Linked DNA regions of Oryza sativa Japonica Group. The protein of the gene in region 1 binds, or shares a complex with, the protein of each later gene. Links are inferred from orthologs where the notes say so. Each region holds a gene or a part of one and is shown in the gene's direction. Other genes may lie near its edges.

Evidence for each region.
Region 2: the proteins of thioredoxin-like protein CITRX, chloroplastic (region 1) and fructokinase-like 2, chloroplastic are in contact, whole or in part, in a cryo-EM structure (PDB 8XZV), measured with the Spinacia oleracea proteins. The link is inferred for Oryza sativa Japonica Group from reciprocal best matches to the Arabidopsis thaliana genes TRX z and FLN2. Residues at the interface, in XP_021862427.2 of Spinacia oleracea: Tyr73, Lys77, Ile83, Thr84, Val87, Arg88, Phe99, Tyr100, Thr102, Trp103, Gly105, Pro106, Ile108, Leu109, Gln112, Asp131, Asp133, Tyr136, Phe138, Ala139, Arg140, Asp141, Met142, Gln143, Val144, Arg145, Gly146, Leu147, Pro148, Tyr151; in XP_021858068.1 of Spinacia oleracea: Gln218, His219, Ala220, Phe221, Val222, Pro223, Ser224, Gly225, Arg226, Pro227, Ala228, Arg230, Leu231, Ile232, His234, Gln235, Ile236, His237, Leu240, Lys241, Ala243, Phe250, Ile251, Asp282, Tyr283, Thr286, Trp308, Ala310, Met311, Ser312.
Region 3: the proteins of thioredoxin-like protein CITRX, chloroplastic (region 1) and fructokinase-like 1, chloroplastic are in contact, whole or in part, in a cryo-EM structure (PDB 8XZV), measured with the Spinacia oleracea proteins. The link is inferred for Oryza sativa Japonica Group from reciprocal best matches to the Arabidopsis thaliana genes TRX z and FLN1. Residues at the interface, in XP_021862427.2 of Spinacia oleracea: Tyr73, Val75, Lys77, Ile83, Thr84, Val87, Arg88, Tyr100, Ala101, Thr102, Trp103, Cys104, Gly105, Pro106, Cys107, Ile108, Ala111, Gln112, Lys129, Asp131, Thr132, Asp133, Asp134, Tyr136, Phe138, Arg140, Asp141, Met142, Gln143, Val144; in XP_021865197.1 of Spinacia oleracea: Gln111, Lys112, Glu113, Phe114, Val115, Pro116, Ser117, Val118, Arg119, Val120, Ser121, His123, Gln124, Met125, Asp126, Pro127, Asp128, Ile129, Tyr130, Trp133, Met136, Gln137, Pro141, Phe143, Asp175, Phe176, Lys201, Ala203, Cys204, Ser205.

What each region holds. Positions count from the first base shown.
Region 1 is NC_089042.1:17,953,258-17,958,218, reverse strand, and holds thioredoxin-like protein CITRX, chloroplastic, read left to right. Parts: upstream 1-2,108; 5' UTR 2,109-2,194; coding exon 2,195-2,443; intron 2,444-2,572; coding exon 2,573-2,695; intron 2,696-3,663; coding exon 3,664-3,744; intron 3,745-3,858; coding exon 3,859-3,975; 3' UTR 3,976-4,172; downstream 4,173-4,961. UniProt on the Arabidopsis thaliana protein: Thiol-disulfide oxidoreductase that plays a role in proper chloroplast development, most likely through regulating plastid-encoded polymerase (PEP) dependent chloroplast transcription.
Region 2 is NC_089037.1:23,405,029-23,410,084, forward strand, and holds the start of fructokinase-like 2, chloroplastic, read left to right. Parts: upstream 1-1,671; 5' UTR 1,672-1,777; coding exon 1,778-1,851; intron 1,852-2,346; coding exon 2,347-2,654; intron 2,655-2,758; coding exon 2,759-3,411; intron 3,412-4,526; coding exon 4,527-4,998; intron 4,999-5,056. UniProt on the Arabidopsis thaliana protein: Required for proper chloroplast development, most likely through regulating plastid-encoded polymerase (PEP) dependent chloroplast transcription.
Region 3 is NC_089035.1:37,265,176-37,270,093, forward strand, and holds fructokinase-like 1, chloroplastic, read left to right. Parts: upstream 1-1,551; 5' UTR 1,552-1,600; coding exon 1,601-2,503; intron 2,504-2,891; coding exon 2,892-3,584; 3' UTR 3,585-3,833; downstream 3,834-4,918. Other genes in the region: heme-binding-like protein At3g10130, chloroplastic, read left to right, coding at 359-1,009; O-fucosyltransferase 19, read right to left, coding at 4,736-4,918. UniProt on the Arabidopsis thaliana protein: Required for proper chloroplast development, most likely through regulating plastid-encoded polymerase (PEP) dependent chloroplast transcription.

The sequences.
Region 1 (4,961 bases):
TTGCCGACGGAGAAATTCACGTCGGCATTGGTAGCACAAATCTGAGTTAACAATGTGTTTGGAAAGTGAATCCCAAGTTGTGTGTTCTCAATGAAAGCCTGATTTATGAACGATACAGACATGGCATCCGTTTTTCAGGATAGGTGTTTGGTCCCAGTGTTATTTGCTTGGTTCTCATGGCTATTTTACTTTCGCTTAAGAACATAATAATTGTAAACTGAATTTCAATTTGAAGATCTGAACAGACCTATTCTTGGTGCTTTGTTTTCAGCACAAATTAATTAAGTATTCCCTCCGTCCCTAAATATAAGGGATTTTGGTGGAATGTGACACATCCTAGTACAATGAATCTGAATAGACTTTTGCTCAGATTCGTTGTACTAGGATAGAAATTTGTTCAGATTCGTTATACTAGGATGTGTCACATCCTATCAAAATCTCTTATATTTAGGGACAGAGGGAGTAGAATAGAAGATTTGGCGTTCGATAAGGAACGATGGGTCGTAGACAACCTCATTATTTATTCCACCTTCATATACTGGGAGAATAGCAAGGAGCATAGTAAAAAAAGGGGACCTGGCCGGTGGTTGAACCGGAAAAAACTGGAGCCAGTGACCTTGGCAGCTCAGTTCAGCTCAAAGACTATCCCTGCAATCGAACGGGTAAAAAATCGGTGAACCGGTAGGTTTTATTTGAACTGGTGAACCTCGGCGGTGGTTTTTTTAGAATCGAGTTGTTTTTAATTTGTCATATGGCAGTATGACATTATGGGTTTGTTAAGTTACACTACATTTATTTTTTTTATGTTGTGGTCATATAATAATAGATATACTGGTTTATTTATGCATATTTCATCAATTTGTGATGGTTCTATATTAAAAATAATGCAAAACAAATATAATATTAATAAATTAAAAACCGGTGGTTCGACCGGTGACCCGACGGTTTGATCGGTGAATCGAACGGTCAGAGTGGGTCGACCACCGATCCCTTTTTTTTTTTTTTACTATGATAAGGAGGGAATATTGTTATGGTGGACAACCATGAAAAATATTTTATGCATTTCCAACATAAATTTACCCTTTGATTCTTGGGTGAATAGTCTTTTTTATTCATGGGTTTAGCTTAAGATTACGAAAAGACATGTATGTTGTAGCATTGCGGGTCCTATATTATTGCTCTATGATGGCCTTAAGATTCGTGTGAATGTGTGGGTACTGTATTAGGGCATCCGCAATGGTTATCTATAGACTCTTTACACGAGATCCATATCAGCATATTTTTCTACTTGGAAGAGATTAAATGAAGAGAGAGAGAGTAAAGCTATCTACTAACCTGGAGATAGTCTATAGAGAAAGACGAGGCAATGGATTAGAGAGCTATAGATACCCATGTAGACATCATTGAAGTGGTTTACTATTAATCTAGTCTATTGCTAATATGGACAATGTTTTATAGATAGTATCTTACTTTACCATTGCGGGTGCTCTTATGGTTCTGGACATAGCTTAAAAAATGCGAAGAAAACAAGGAGCTCATATATTCTACATGTTAAAACTTAGAACTTACCGTCACGTAGATTTTTGCCATATATGGATGAAGATTCAATAATTGCTTTCTTTCTATGTATTGGTTTTTATTCAGTATTTATGATGTTGTCTAAATGTTTGTTCACTTTGAAAGAATTTTGTACTCTTTTCATATACTTTTGATAATCATATTTTATCTTGGTACACAGACCAAGGATAAGTAATTCTACTTCTCATTCATTTAAACATGTTACTAGTCATTCCTCGTAAACAAGCGATTTATTAATATTTATATTTCTCGATACTCATGTATCCAATCTTGTATGGAAAAATAAGAGTCACGCATTAAATCCGAAAAAAGTCATTAAGAGGATAAGTTGTTGGATTGAAATATGCTTATCAAAAATAAAATTTTTAGATTTAGAAATATAACTATCAAAAATAGATGGATGAAAGTAGATGGATGGAGAAGTGATTGTAGTTTTTTTAGGTAAAGTTCAGGATTTATTCAAGACAGATATTTAGCGAAAACCAAATGTTTAAGGCTTTTACCCCTCACATCATCACTCACAGGCAACTCGCCTTTTTTACTCGAGTAGAGTAGCGACAGCTCGCGAGGCAGAGACAGGATAGGATTATCTCTCCCACACTCGCTCCCCCCAGCCATGGCCATGGCCGCGGCCGCCTCCCTCCTGCCGGCGAGCGCCGCCCCAACCCTCCCCGGACGCGCCTTCCGCCCGCCCCGCAACTCCACCCCGACGGCCTCCCTCTCCTGCGATGGCGGCTCCCGCTGCCGCGGCGTCGGCCTCGGCGTCATCCTCGGTGGGTGTCGCGCGCAAGGCGTTCGACGGAATGCCGCAGCCGAGACCTACGTCCCAGGCTCCGGCAAGTACATCGCCCCGGACTACCTCGTGGTACGATCCTGCAAGGCTCGACTCGCATTTGGCAGTGAGCCTGGCTACGTTCGAGGAGTCTGCTCGATCGAGTCCTACTTGGGTATCTGAAACGGGATATATCTTTCCTTCCTCCTTTCATGGTTGCAGAAGAAGGTGACGGCCAAGGAACTGGAGGAGCTGGTGAGGGGGGAGAGGAAGGTGCCCCTCATCGTGGATTTCTACGCGACGTGGTGCGGACCCTGCGTCCTCATGGCCCAGGACATCGAGATGGTAATATGTGCCCTGCAAATCTTACATTCCCCGTTTAGTGTTTGCTTCTCTCTAACGTTGGGCAACACTCTCTGACCAATTACAAGTTTGCGCACCCTTCCCACGTAGAGTTATTACTAGCAATGAAAGAGGAAACACCCATAAGAAAAAGAAAAAAACAATCTTCACATATGTTTGAAAACATACATTAAACTGATTTAGGGAGTGTTTAAAGCTTCACATGATTTTGAAAACATTTGTATGATTTAGGGTCTCTGAATGTCTAGCTAGCACCAAACTGAACTGGGGTGTTAGTAGGTGTCATGTGCCATGAATACTCTAGTCTTGTTAATTAAGCACTTACTTATCAAGATTCTAATCCAAAATGAGACTACAACAATTTTAACCATTCTCTACTTAGATTAGTAAAGAAATGGCAGACCCAACGTGTATGTCTGTGCCTAATAACGAAAGGGAATGATATAGCCAGTGCAAGATGCCTATGTCCATTCCAAAATCTTCCCTGAAATTTGTGGCTGTTACGCTGGTGGTATTCTTTGTATGCTCTGAATTTGTCAGAGACAATATTGCCTTTCCTGCAAGCTCCACCCCAGTGTTCTTGACAATCTGAATTTATTGAAGAAACTTTGATTTAATATATTCAACAATAGTGTTTCCATCACATTTGTATCTAGATCTTCCCTAATATTCTTTTATACTCCCTCCATTTCACAATGTAAGTCATTCTAGCATTTTCCACATTCATATTGATGTTAATGAATCTAGACATATATATCTATCTAGATTCATTAACATCAATATGAATGTGGGAAATGCTAGAATGACTTATATTGTGAAACGGAGGAAGTAATACTTATAGGTTTCAAGTAACTTCACCAAGTGCCATATATACTTATAATGCAAACTCATTTTTTGCATCCTCTTGTACTATCAACTGATTTCAACATTTCTGCCATATAATGTGTCAGCTTGCAGTTGAATATGAAAACAATGCCCTGTTTGTGAAGGTGGATACTGATGATGAATATGAACTTGCAAGAGATATGCAGGTATACACATCATTGCACACACTGAGCAAAGAAAATAGTAATCATAGTTTTGTTTTGGTTTATAACTTATTTTTACAATGTTTTCTGAACACTCACCATGGGTGAAAAATACAGGTAAGAGGACTTCCAACACTGTATTTCTTCAGTCCAGATCAAAGCAAAGACGCCCTAAGGACTGAGGGACTGATTCCTATTGATATGATCAGAAATATCATTGATAATGAATTGTGATCGCTAGGATATAGGGACATAGTTGAGATTTTGATGTTTGAAGTATTTTAGCCACTAGTAGATGTGATAGATTTGAGCTTTCTGATCTTTAGTGGGAAGGTTCTGAATCTTCTGGTACGCAGAGTCTGCGTGTGGAATGTAGTATGTTATATGTGGGGTTCGTGCTTCAGACTAACAAGCTACTCTATAATTCAGTTATTCTTCCTAGTTCAAGATAAAACGGTTTTTGCACCTTTGTGCTCTTCCCTCATGATTATCAAGATTATCATGACTAGGGAGGGAGGCTAACAACTAAAATTAAATTACAAGAAAACCTATTATAGCTACAATCCACTAACTGGAATTACTTCTATAGAGGAGCACACGCATGACCCCACAACATCTTGATAGTTCATGTTCATTCTCACTCGCTGTACTCTTAAGTAATACTTAACTGTCTCTGTAGCAACACGCTCGATATCATCTAGTTAAACTAACCTAGTGTGTAAGGTTTAAGACTAGTGCAGCCCAAGTTTTACAACCTATATATGATTCAAATATCTTAAACCCTAACTAAAAAGGGTCTCGGAGAGGGGGGGGGGGGTAAAATTTCAAAAACTTGAATAATTAGACCGAATGAGATAGTCGGATACCGGATGTGACGGTCCGACTACGGATGCAGTTGGACAATTTGGTTGGCACCGTATCAGACAATTCGGTTAGTGCCAGGACAGGAAAATGAGTAAATGACTCGGACATTTCGAACTCGGTCAGTGCAAGACAGAAAAATGAGTAAATGACTCGGACGTTTCGAACGTTTTGACCATGATAGGATAATCTGGGTAACACATGAAACTTAACTTAGGCAATTTAACAAGAAGCAAACTAAAAAACGGGCTATGCAAGCATACTTTCTACACGAGCAAGCTAGTTGAAGATAGAGCTAAACAAGCATGCAAAAATCACAACTAGCACATGTTAGAAAACGGTAAAAGTGAGAAAAGGAG
Region 2 (5,056 bases), on another chromosome or scaffold:
TGATTATCCTGATTCCTGAAAAAGAACAGTACCTTGAGAAATTTGTTTGTGCATTTCTGTGAGTCAACAAACAGGCTGACATGGGTACAGCAGCACCTTATTAAAGAAACATGAGGGAACACTGTTGCAAAAATGCTGAGCATTTTTCCTTTCAAGTAGTAGCATTGGGCAGCAGGAATTAGCCGTTTAACTCTATCCTTGATAGAGAACATGGGATTTAGTACACGATACCATAGGATATATCATGCTTAGCTAAATGGTTGGAATGCCCTTTTGGGGTTTTGATTTTTGTCCAGAAAAAAAAAAATGTTGCTGAACAGCTCTACATTGCCTGCAAAGTATCAGGCAACCTCAGACATGAGAAAAAAATACAGAAATATTACGGAATATAAGAAGATTTCATGACAAGTCAACCTTTTAGGCAGATATTACAGAAGAAAAGGTTCTCAATTGGTATCTGAACAAACAGCTTCCTTTAGGGCTAATCTACCAAAGGAACAGTACTTTTACTGTTTTACAACATAAAACAGTCCTTAAGCTGATAGCCGGAATGGAAGAGCAATGGGTGTTTAGAAACTAAATGTGTGACGTGGCAGAAATAAAAGAACACAATAGAAGTAAAAAAGACAGTACAATACGGAATCAACCAATTATTTTGTTCCAATCCTCAAAAAAAAAAAATCAAGCTTATCTGAATAAGTAGATTTATAGTATTATTTTTCTATCTTGACAGACTATGTGTTGCGGAGCAAATGAGAAGGAACAATGGCTGAATGAATAACAATTACTGGTACATATGACGTGCAAAGTGCTATGGAAACCAGCAATTTTAACAGTCCATTACGACCTTGTTTTATATTATAAGTCATTTTGACTTTTTTTCCTAATCAATCTTTTTTTTTAATTTTGACCTAATTTCTAAAAAATACAGCAACATTTTGAATAGAAAACAAACGTATTATCAAAATATATTTAATGAAACTAATTTAGTATTGTAGATGTTGCTAAATTTTTCTATAAATTTGATCAAACCTAAATAAAACAACTTATAATGTGAAACGGAGAAGAACCACAAATCACCACAAACATGCATAGCGCTGACAGCGCCGCAACGCATTGCCACAAACTGGAGAAGGTTGCAAAGAACGGCAGTAGGACTCGACTAGAATACTAGATTCCCACATTGTCACACAAAAGAAACAATTAATATACCATGATAAACATTCAGCAAGAACTCCCGTGAGGCCGGAGCACCATGGCCAAGCCGAAGCCGGCGCCGGCGGCAAATTGAAGAACAGGCGAGGCGACGGCGCAGGATGCGTTGATTCGATGAATGAGCGGACCAGTCAACCAGGGTAACTCCCAAGAAGATCCCTATAAGCTACCCCGTGCGGCTGCCATTTGCGAACCAAGAGAGAGGATTCCGCGCCGCCGAGGCGATAAACGGCGGCGGAGTCTCCCGGGGGAAGAAGAGGAGAGGAGAGGAGAGTGCTAGCGTATTATTATCTGTTCGTAAACCCATGGATGAAGCGTATTCCCCAAGTACGTGTTCTACCATGCGATTATTTATTACGCTTCTGCCCCTTATCTTGAGATAGATGGAAGGGCATGTATGTAATTTTAGTTTGCAGCAGCAATCAATCTTCTTCTCCCCTCTCCCCTGGGGTTTTTGCTCCTCTGCTCAGCTCTGAGCTTCTTCGTTTGAGGGATTTTCTTCTCCCGGGAGGCGGAAGAGGCGTAGGCGAGGATTCTTGTAGGAATCCTCTCCTCTCCATTGATGCACCGAATGGCTTCTCTTCTTCTCCCCCCGCAGTTTCTTTGCTCCCTGCCTTGTAGTACCAACTCAATCAGGTATGTAATGCTTCATTTTTCTGTGTAATGCAGCTTCTTCTTCTTCTTCTTCTGGTAGTAGCTGATATGAGTGCGTGTGGCGATCTCTTTCGGATTGTTTGAGTCGCCACCATATGGATCCTAGGTTAGGGAAGGGAAAGGAGCAGCACATGGAGTGGAGATTGTGGCATCTTTCTTTGGTCCCAAATTTCCAATAGATCTTGGGTCTATGTTTTGTTTCATTTTTTGATAACAACTATTTGATTCTTACAAGATGAACAATATGTCATCAAATTGTGATGTGTACTCGATGAAATATATATATATACCGCTTGTACCTAGCCTTGTCTGAATATGCTCCCACGTGGTATGGTAGCAGCTTCATATTTGAATCGTGTGATAACATTAGTTCTATCTTACATTCACTTATTCTTTATTTTTTAACACATCACTACTTACATTATGGTTTAAATTCCAACAGTTATTAGTGACTTGCTTCCGATGTGTAATGTGCAGGAGCCATTTACATTATAAGCCCCACTTCTTGGGAAACATTATGACTAAGCCTAAAGCTAAAATGAGGCTGCTCAACCGAAACGTAAGTTCCATGGCAAAGAAGAGCTCTCAAGATGTAGCAGAAGGTTCAAGTGATGATGAGAGTGACGGCGAGACATCAAAAACCAAGAAAAGAGCTCCGAGACGTGGAAGAAAGAAAGCCACCATACAAGCATCAGAAGGGGAAACACAAGAAGGTCAAGTGAGCACTGAAGAAGATGAATCCCCTGAAGGGACTAAGAAAATAAAAAGGAGGGGCCGCAAGAAAGGTACATCTTGCTTGCATATTTTCAGTAGAGTACTTCCTTCAATAACTTAAGAAAAAAATTATCGTAAACCCTTAGCAAGTCATGACTTCTCTCCTATGTTGCAGCTGCAACTACTGCAAGCTCATCGGAAGAGAAGGACAAAGCAAAAGAACCAAAGAAGAGGGGCAGAAGAAAAGTTAAGACTGTAGAGGAATTGAGTGACAATGAAGGGGAAGATCTGGGTGAAGATCTAGTGCCCTCCAATGACAGGCAGGAGAAAATTTCAGCAAATGACCTAGAAAGTAAAATAGCAGCATTGCTATTAGAAGATACTGATGATAATGATATTAACAATTTAATCCCTCTTGTGTGCTGCTTTGGGCCTGCTAAGTACTCATTTATTCCTTCTGGAAGACCTGCTAATAGGCTGATAGATCATGAAATTCATGAGGGAATGAAAGACATGTTCTGGTCTCCAGATCAATTTGTAAGGGCACCAGGAGGATCATCATCCAATGTTGCTCTTGCTTTAGCAGCTTCTGGTGGCCGGGTTGAATTCATGGGAAAACTAGGCGATGATGATTATGGTCAAAGTACATTATATCACTTGAACGTCAATGGAGTTCAAACTCGGGCAATTAAAATGGACCCTTCAGCGTTTACTGCCATGTCCTTGATGAAGGTCACAGGTAGGGGTAGCTTGAAAATGAGCTGTGCTAAACCTTGTGCAGAGGATTGTTTTGTCCAAACTGATATCAACCCAGCTGTTTTAAAAGAGGTAAAGACGAGTACATCAAACAATATTTTGATTACACCTTATCCTCTACAATATTATCTATTACTACATGGTTTAATGATAAACTGTATGCACACTTGATTGGTCTTGAGAAAAGTTTGTTTGTGCCATGCACATTGTGGCAACAATAAATTGTTTAAATGTTCACATGGTAAAGTTATTTTACTATGCTGACCTATCATTATGTTGTGGTGCATTTTCTTTTGTCAGAGATGATTAGTTAATGAAAGAGTACTACACGGATCAGAAGATTTGTATGTCACACATTGTTTTGTTAGTTATAATTAATCTGGTATGGAAATTTTACCACATAAAAGCAAATTTTGTTGAATAATTCTGTTCCTTATACAGTTAGAAAGATTCTATTTTTCTTTATCACAAGAAGAGCTTGCTAAAGTGAAGAAGTTGCTTTCAGCTGATGGCATATTATACTGTTTAGATGTGCAATTCATAATTCAGTTGCAACATTGTTTGCAATACAGAAGTCATTATATTTATATCAAAAGACTTAAGGAACAACTAGGGCTATACTGCTAAATTAATGTACTTGTCCAAAAAGATAATAAGAGGAAATTACTCAACTCGATTTCTATCAATTCAAACTTGCTATCTATTAGTTGACCATGAATGTGTCAAAATGATACTATGTACTATAAACAAATGGGAGGTTTACCTGTTTTCATTGCCGTGCTTTGGTAGGTTCAGAAAAAGAAGTAAATAAAACACTTTCAGTTCACAACTGTGCTTTTTCTACATGTTTGCACTTAGCATGGTTATTTTTTAGTCAGAAGACACATAAACCTGTACCATAATGATCTTAATTTTTTGTAAAAAACCTTTTAGCAGTTAGGGCACTACAAGCTGCTCTGTACTGGAACTTGTTGGATAATATCTTTGCTAATGCTGAATGTCTGAAAATTCCCAAACTCAAAATAATATGAACATTAAAAAGCAACTACTTAAAATATTAGGTCCCTATGGGCAGGCCATATCTGAAATTAGGTAAATCAAAGATATCTACAATCCCTGAAGAAAATACTGTCCACTTATGTGTTATATCTTATGTAAAAATCAGTTGTTTCTGTTTGTTAATGCAGGCTAAGATGTTTTACTACAATTCTTCAGCTTTGCTTGAGCCCACGACACGATCATCATTGTCGAAAGCAATTGAGGTTTCCAAGAAATTTGGTGGTGTAACATTCTTTGATCTCAATCTTCCACTGCCATTATGGTCGTCCAGTAAGGAGACCAAGTCACTTGTCAAGGAAGCATGGGAAGCTGCTGATATTATTGAAATCACTAAGCAGGAACTTGAGTTCTTGTGTGGCATTAAACCATCTGAGAAATTTGGTACGAAGGATAATGATAAATCCAAATTCACTCACTACAGCCCAGAAGTTGTTACGAAATTGTGGCATGAAAATCTCAAGGTCCTTTTTGTGACAAACGGCACTTCTAAGATTCATTATTACACAAAAGAGCATGATGGCTGGGTTCGTGGCACAGAAGATGCACCAATTACTCCTTTCACCGGTGACATGTCACAATCAGGTGACGCCATTGTTGCAGGTACTGCATCTGATGTTCTTTTTTTTTTCTACTTCTGCAGGATATGCCATTTTCATTA
Region 3 (4,918 bases), on another chromosome or scaffold:
CAAAGTCCAGCCCATGAACTCCAGAAAGCAGCAAAATACCGTGCGCCAGCGGCTCTAGACCTCTAGTCAAAGCGAAAGCCAACGGAGGACGTATCGAGGTTGTTGCAGAGTGCTGGACTTGCCCGCCAAGCCGAAGACAAAACGCACCGCGGACGTGGAGCAACACGCGCCGCGATTCAGGCTCCCCACTTCGTCCACACATCCCGCCTCCTCGCCGCTTCTTTAAACTCCAAGCGGCCAAGCCCACCGCCAATCACTCATCCAAGTATCCAACAAAGAACAAACCCACCCCCGCCGCTGAGATCGAATCCGACCTTAATTTTCACCTGCTCGCTGATCTCGCCGGCCGTCGACCGCCATGGGGATGGTGCTGGGCAAGATCACGGTGGAGACGCCCAAGCACGAGGTGCTCCACACCGGCGCCGGCTACGAGGTCCGCAAGTACCCGCCGTGCGTCGTCGCCGAGGTCACCTACGACCCCGCGGAGATGAAAGGCGACCGCGACGGCGGGTTCACCGTCCTCGGCAACTACATCGGCGCCCTCGGCAACCCGCAGAACACCAAGCCAGAGAAGATCGACATGACCGCGCCGGTCATCACCTCCGGCGAGCCCGAGAGTATCGCCATGACGGCCCCGGTCATCACCTCCGGTGAGCCTGAGCCGGTGGCGATGACCGCGCCGGTGATCACGGCCGAAGAGCGCAGCCAGGGGAAGGGTCAGATGACAATGCAGTTTCTGCTGCCGTCCAAGTACAGCAAGGTGGAGGAGGCGCCGCGGCCGACGGACGAGCGGGTGGTGCTGCGGCAGGTGGGGGAGAGGAAGTACGGGGTGGTGAGGTTCAGCGGCCTGACCGGAGACAAGGTGGTGAAGGAGAAGGCGGAGTGGCTCAAGGCCGCGCTGGAGAAGGACGGGTTCACCGTCAAGGGCCCCTTCGTGCTGGCGCGGTACAACCCGCCGTTTACTCTGCCTCCGCTGCGCACCAACGAGGTCATGGTCCCCGTCGAGTGATACGGCGAGACTCCATTGTTGGTGTCTAGTGATGTACTGATGCGCATGTACTTTTATCAGGGTGTCCTTGTTACTCCTAGGCCCTAGCTATTTCTCTATTTCTTTATCCTTTTGACTTTGTTCTGTACTGATGTATGTTTGGATCAACGAATAATGGACATATCTTGGGAAAAATTTCAGTAGTCCGGAAAAATGAATCAAGCATGCACACAAGAATACTCTGCAGTTCAGTCACGGGCAGAGTACACAGCTTATGCAGTTATGCTCCTTGACGGTAAATTTGTTCCGGCCTGAACTTATTGGAGACGCTCACTGCAACCTCATACTTGAGCCAACGCAACTGTCAAATCTAAACTTCAGGCTGGCCGTCGAGATCGAATTTGGCCCATATTAGTTAGCGGTGCAGCACCGTTCCGTTTCAATGTTGGGCCTACAAAGCGCTCAGATCCATACCCGCAAGGCTGCAACCCAGTTTATGGATTCGGGCGCAACCCGACATCCTTAACGGTCGCTAAACCCTTCAACGCGAACTGGATAGAGTCGAACACCTTCGTCTTCTACCAGGCTTCCCACCGAAGGAGAGAGCCGGCTATGGCCATGGCGGCCTCCCCATTCCTCATCTTGCCATCCTTATTCCCCAAGCCCACCATCCTCGCCGCGCGCATCCACCCCAGCATCTTCCGAGGCCGCCATATTCGCTGCTCCCCGAACGGCGCCGCCGTACCGGAATCCCCTGAACCCGCCCCACGCCGCGGGCGCAGGAAGTCCCCATCCCCGTCGCCGCCGAAGGCGAAGACCACGAGGCGCAGGACCAAGAAGAATACGCAGGAGTCTGATTCAGAGGGCGAGGAGGAGCCGCCGAAGCGGCGGGGCCGTCGGACAAGGAAATCCAAGCAAGAGGCCGAGCAGGAGGCGGCGGAGAAGGAGGATGAGGTCCGGGCGGCGAGCCCCGGAACGGAGGATTCGAAGAGAGCGGTCCAAGATGAGGATGGGGAGGCGGAGGCGACGGGGAGCGACTCCGAAGACGGGGAGGATTCGCCGTACGACTGGCCGCCGCTGGTGTGCTGCTTCGGGGCGCCGCGGTGGGAGTTCGTCCCGACGGTGCGGGTGTCGGACCGGCAGATGCACCCGGACATATACTCCACGTGGCTGCATCTGCAGTGGGAGCCTCCGGAGTTCGCGCGCGCGCCGGGGAGCGCGGCGAGCAACGTGGCCATCGCGCTCACCAGGCTCGGCGGCCGCGCCGCGGTGCTCGGCAAGGTCGGTGACGACGACTTCGGCCGCGAGCTTGTGTACCGCATGAACTGCGAGCGAGTGCAGACGCGCGCCATCAGGTTCGACGACGGCGCGGCCACGGCCACTGCGCGCATGAAGGTCGGGTTCCGGGACCGTGAGGACGGCAGCGGCGGAACGAGGCTTGTGGCTGAGACGGTGAAGAGCGCTGCCGAGGACTCCCTCAGCAAGGCTGAGATCAATGTGGATGTTTTGAAAGAGGTGAGTCGGTGATTTTGTGGTAAATGATTGAAATTGGTGACTTCTGCATACTCCATTGCTGCATTTTTATTTCTCGGCAAGGATATCCACCGCTCAGCTGCGGTACATTGTTGCATTGAAAAACACCGACTCTATGTGAGTAGTGTACTACAGAGCACAATTGCTTATGTCTATTCATTAGTTCAGTTGAACATACAATGGTGCCAAGCCAACCAGTTTTGCAGATTAAAAAGACAAACAAATTTTACCCTGTTATATGATGTTTATCCTTAGAAGATGAATTTTTTATGTGCCCGTGAAAGTAGATTGTAGACCGTCTTTTCTTTATTTATGATTTGATGGAAAGCAAAAAAAAATGAATTTTAGACCTAACGTGCTGTAATTGCAGGCTAGAGTGTTCCATTTCAATTCAGAGGTCCTATTGACTCCCTCAATGGAAAGCACACTCTTCAGAGCAATTGAACTGTCCAAGAAATTTGGAAGTAAAATATTCTTTGATCTTAACTTGCCATTGCCTTTGTGGAGGTCAAGGGATGAAACAAAGGAGTTGATAAACAAGGCATGGAATGAGGCTGATATTATAGAGGTGTCAAGGGATGAGTTGGAATTCCTCCTTGATCACGAGTACTATCAATATAAGCGTGCCAATCCACCTCAGTATTATCTGGATGGTTTTCATCTAACAAGGAACTGGCCACAGTACTACCATTACACCCCCGAAGAAATTGCTCCCATTTGGCATGATGGGATAAAACTCTTGCTTGTGACATACGGAACACTTAGGATCCACTACTACACACCCAAGTTTCATGGCTGCGTGATTGGGACGGAGGATGCACTCATAACTCCATACACAACTGACCGGACAGGTTCTGGAGATGCTGTTGTTGCTGCTGCTATTAGAAAATTGACGTCTTGTCCTGAGATGTATGAGGACCAGGATACATTGGAGAGGAATCTGAGATTCGCTGTTGCTGCCGGAATCATTTCGCAATGGACTATTGGTGCTGTGCGAGGATTCCCTACTGAGAGTGCTGCCCAGAACTTGAAGGAGCAAGTATATGTGCCTTCTATGTGGTGACTGGCGGACTGGTAATCATTTGTGATTAAAAGAACAATGCTCATGATATACAAGTGTATTTCATGAGTGCTGCAACAGAGGTGGTCAAGGGAAAAGTTTTACCAAAACAGCTTACAGGCTTTTCAGGTATCATCCTATCGTCCGTTCCATATTGTTTCAGTGTTCAGTTTTAGTTGGAAAAATGTGTCTGCCACTTGGAGGCTTCCATTGCTTTACAGTTTTGAAGAGCTATGTTTACCTATTGACTTCCATGGTAGGGATGCAAGTGTCTAACCCACTGACCCATGTCACTAAATTGGTGCTTCTTTTTCTGCACACATTTATGTTAGTGATAAAGCTAAATAATCAGAATGAAGTCACAATTTCTGAAATTGACTTAGTTTCACACATTCAAGGAAACTTAACAGGGAATGTGTTTAAGAATTAAGAACAACAGTACTCTGTTTGAGAGGAACTGGCAACATGGATGATATTTAGTTATGATATCGAGGATGATTGATATGAAATGGAGCAAAGCATAGAAATCCAAAACAATCAACTGAACTTAGTGATAAAATGTTTGTTGGCATCATGGCAGCACAAATTCCTAAAGCAAACTTGAAATGCAAAGACTCAATGGAATGAAATAAACTAAAAAAGAATTTACCATTCATCACTTGTTTCTTCTTGGGTACATCCTGCTCTCTCTATATACATCATACATGCCTATCTGAATAAAGCTGCAATTTTGGGATGAATACAAAATATAAAAAGAGGACAGACTGTACATATGGAGTGTGTGAAGTGTGAACTACATACATGCACTAAAAAAGGTATTCTTTCAAGCTATCCCATCACTTCTGGCACATCTATGCTTTGCTGGTATTTAAAATCTTTTTTACTCTTCCGTTTCCTGTATACTTGAATAAATAATCAACTGGAGATGCAGATCTCAGACGATAATAAATGGACCTGCCCCTCCTGCTTCCTTTTCTATGAATGATGGCTGCATACACTGTTAATCTAGGAAAATTATCTGTGGGCTGTCCCTGTCCATTACCAGTGTAATTCTTTGTTAGAAGATTTTGTGTTTGTATATCCATGCTACATCAGGGAAGTGGTTGGAACTTTTGAAGACAATAATATCACATCCTCTTCATAACAAATCAGCGTCATTTAATCCTTTGCATTCTTTTGCACAAGCAGCCTGGAAGGGGATTTGCGTAGAAGTACTCCTCTTGCCTAGGACTTCGACCAGATAACCTCTGATATGGACCCCCAAGTCTGTTTTCATGATGTATCTTCACTTCACTTTGGAACTCATTCCATGTTAGTGTACCTTCATCAAGCTTGTC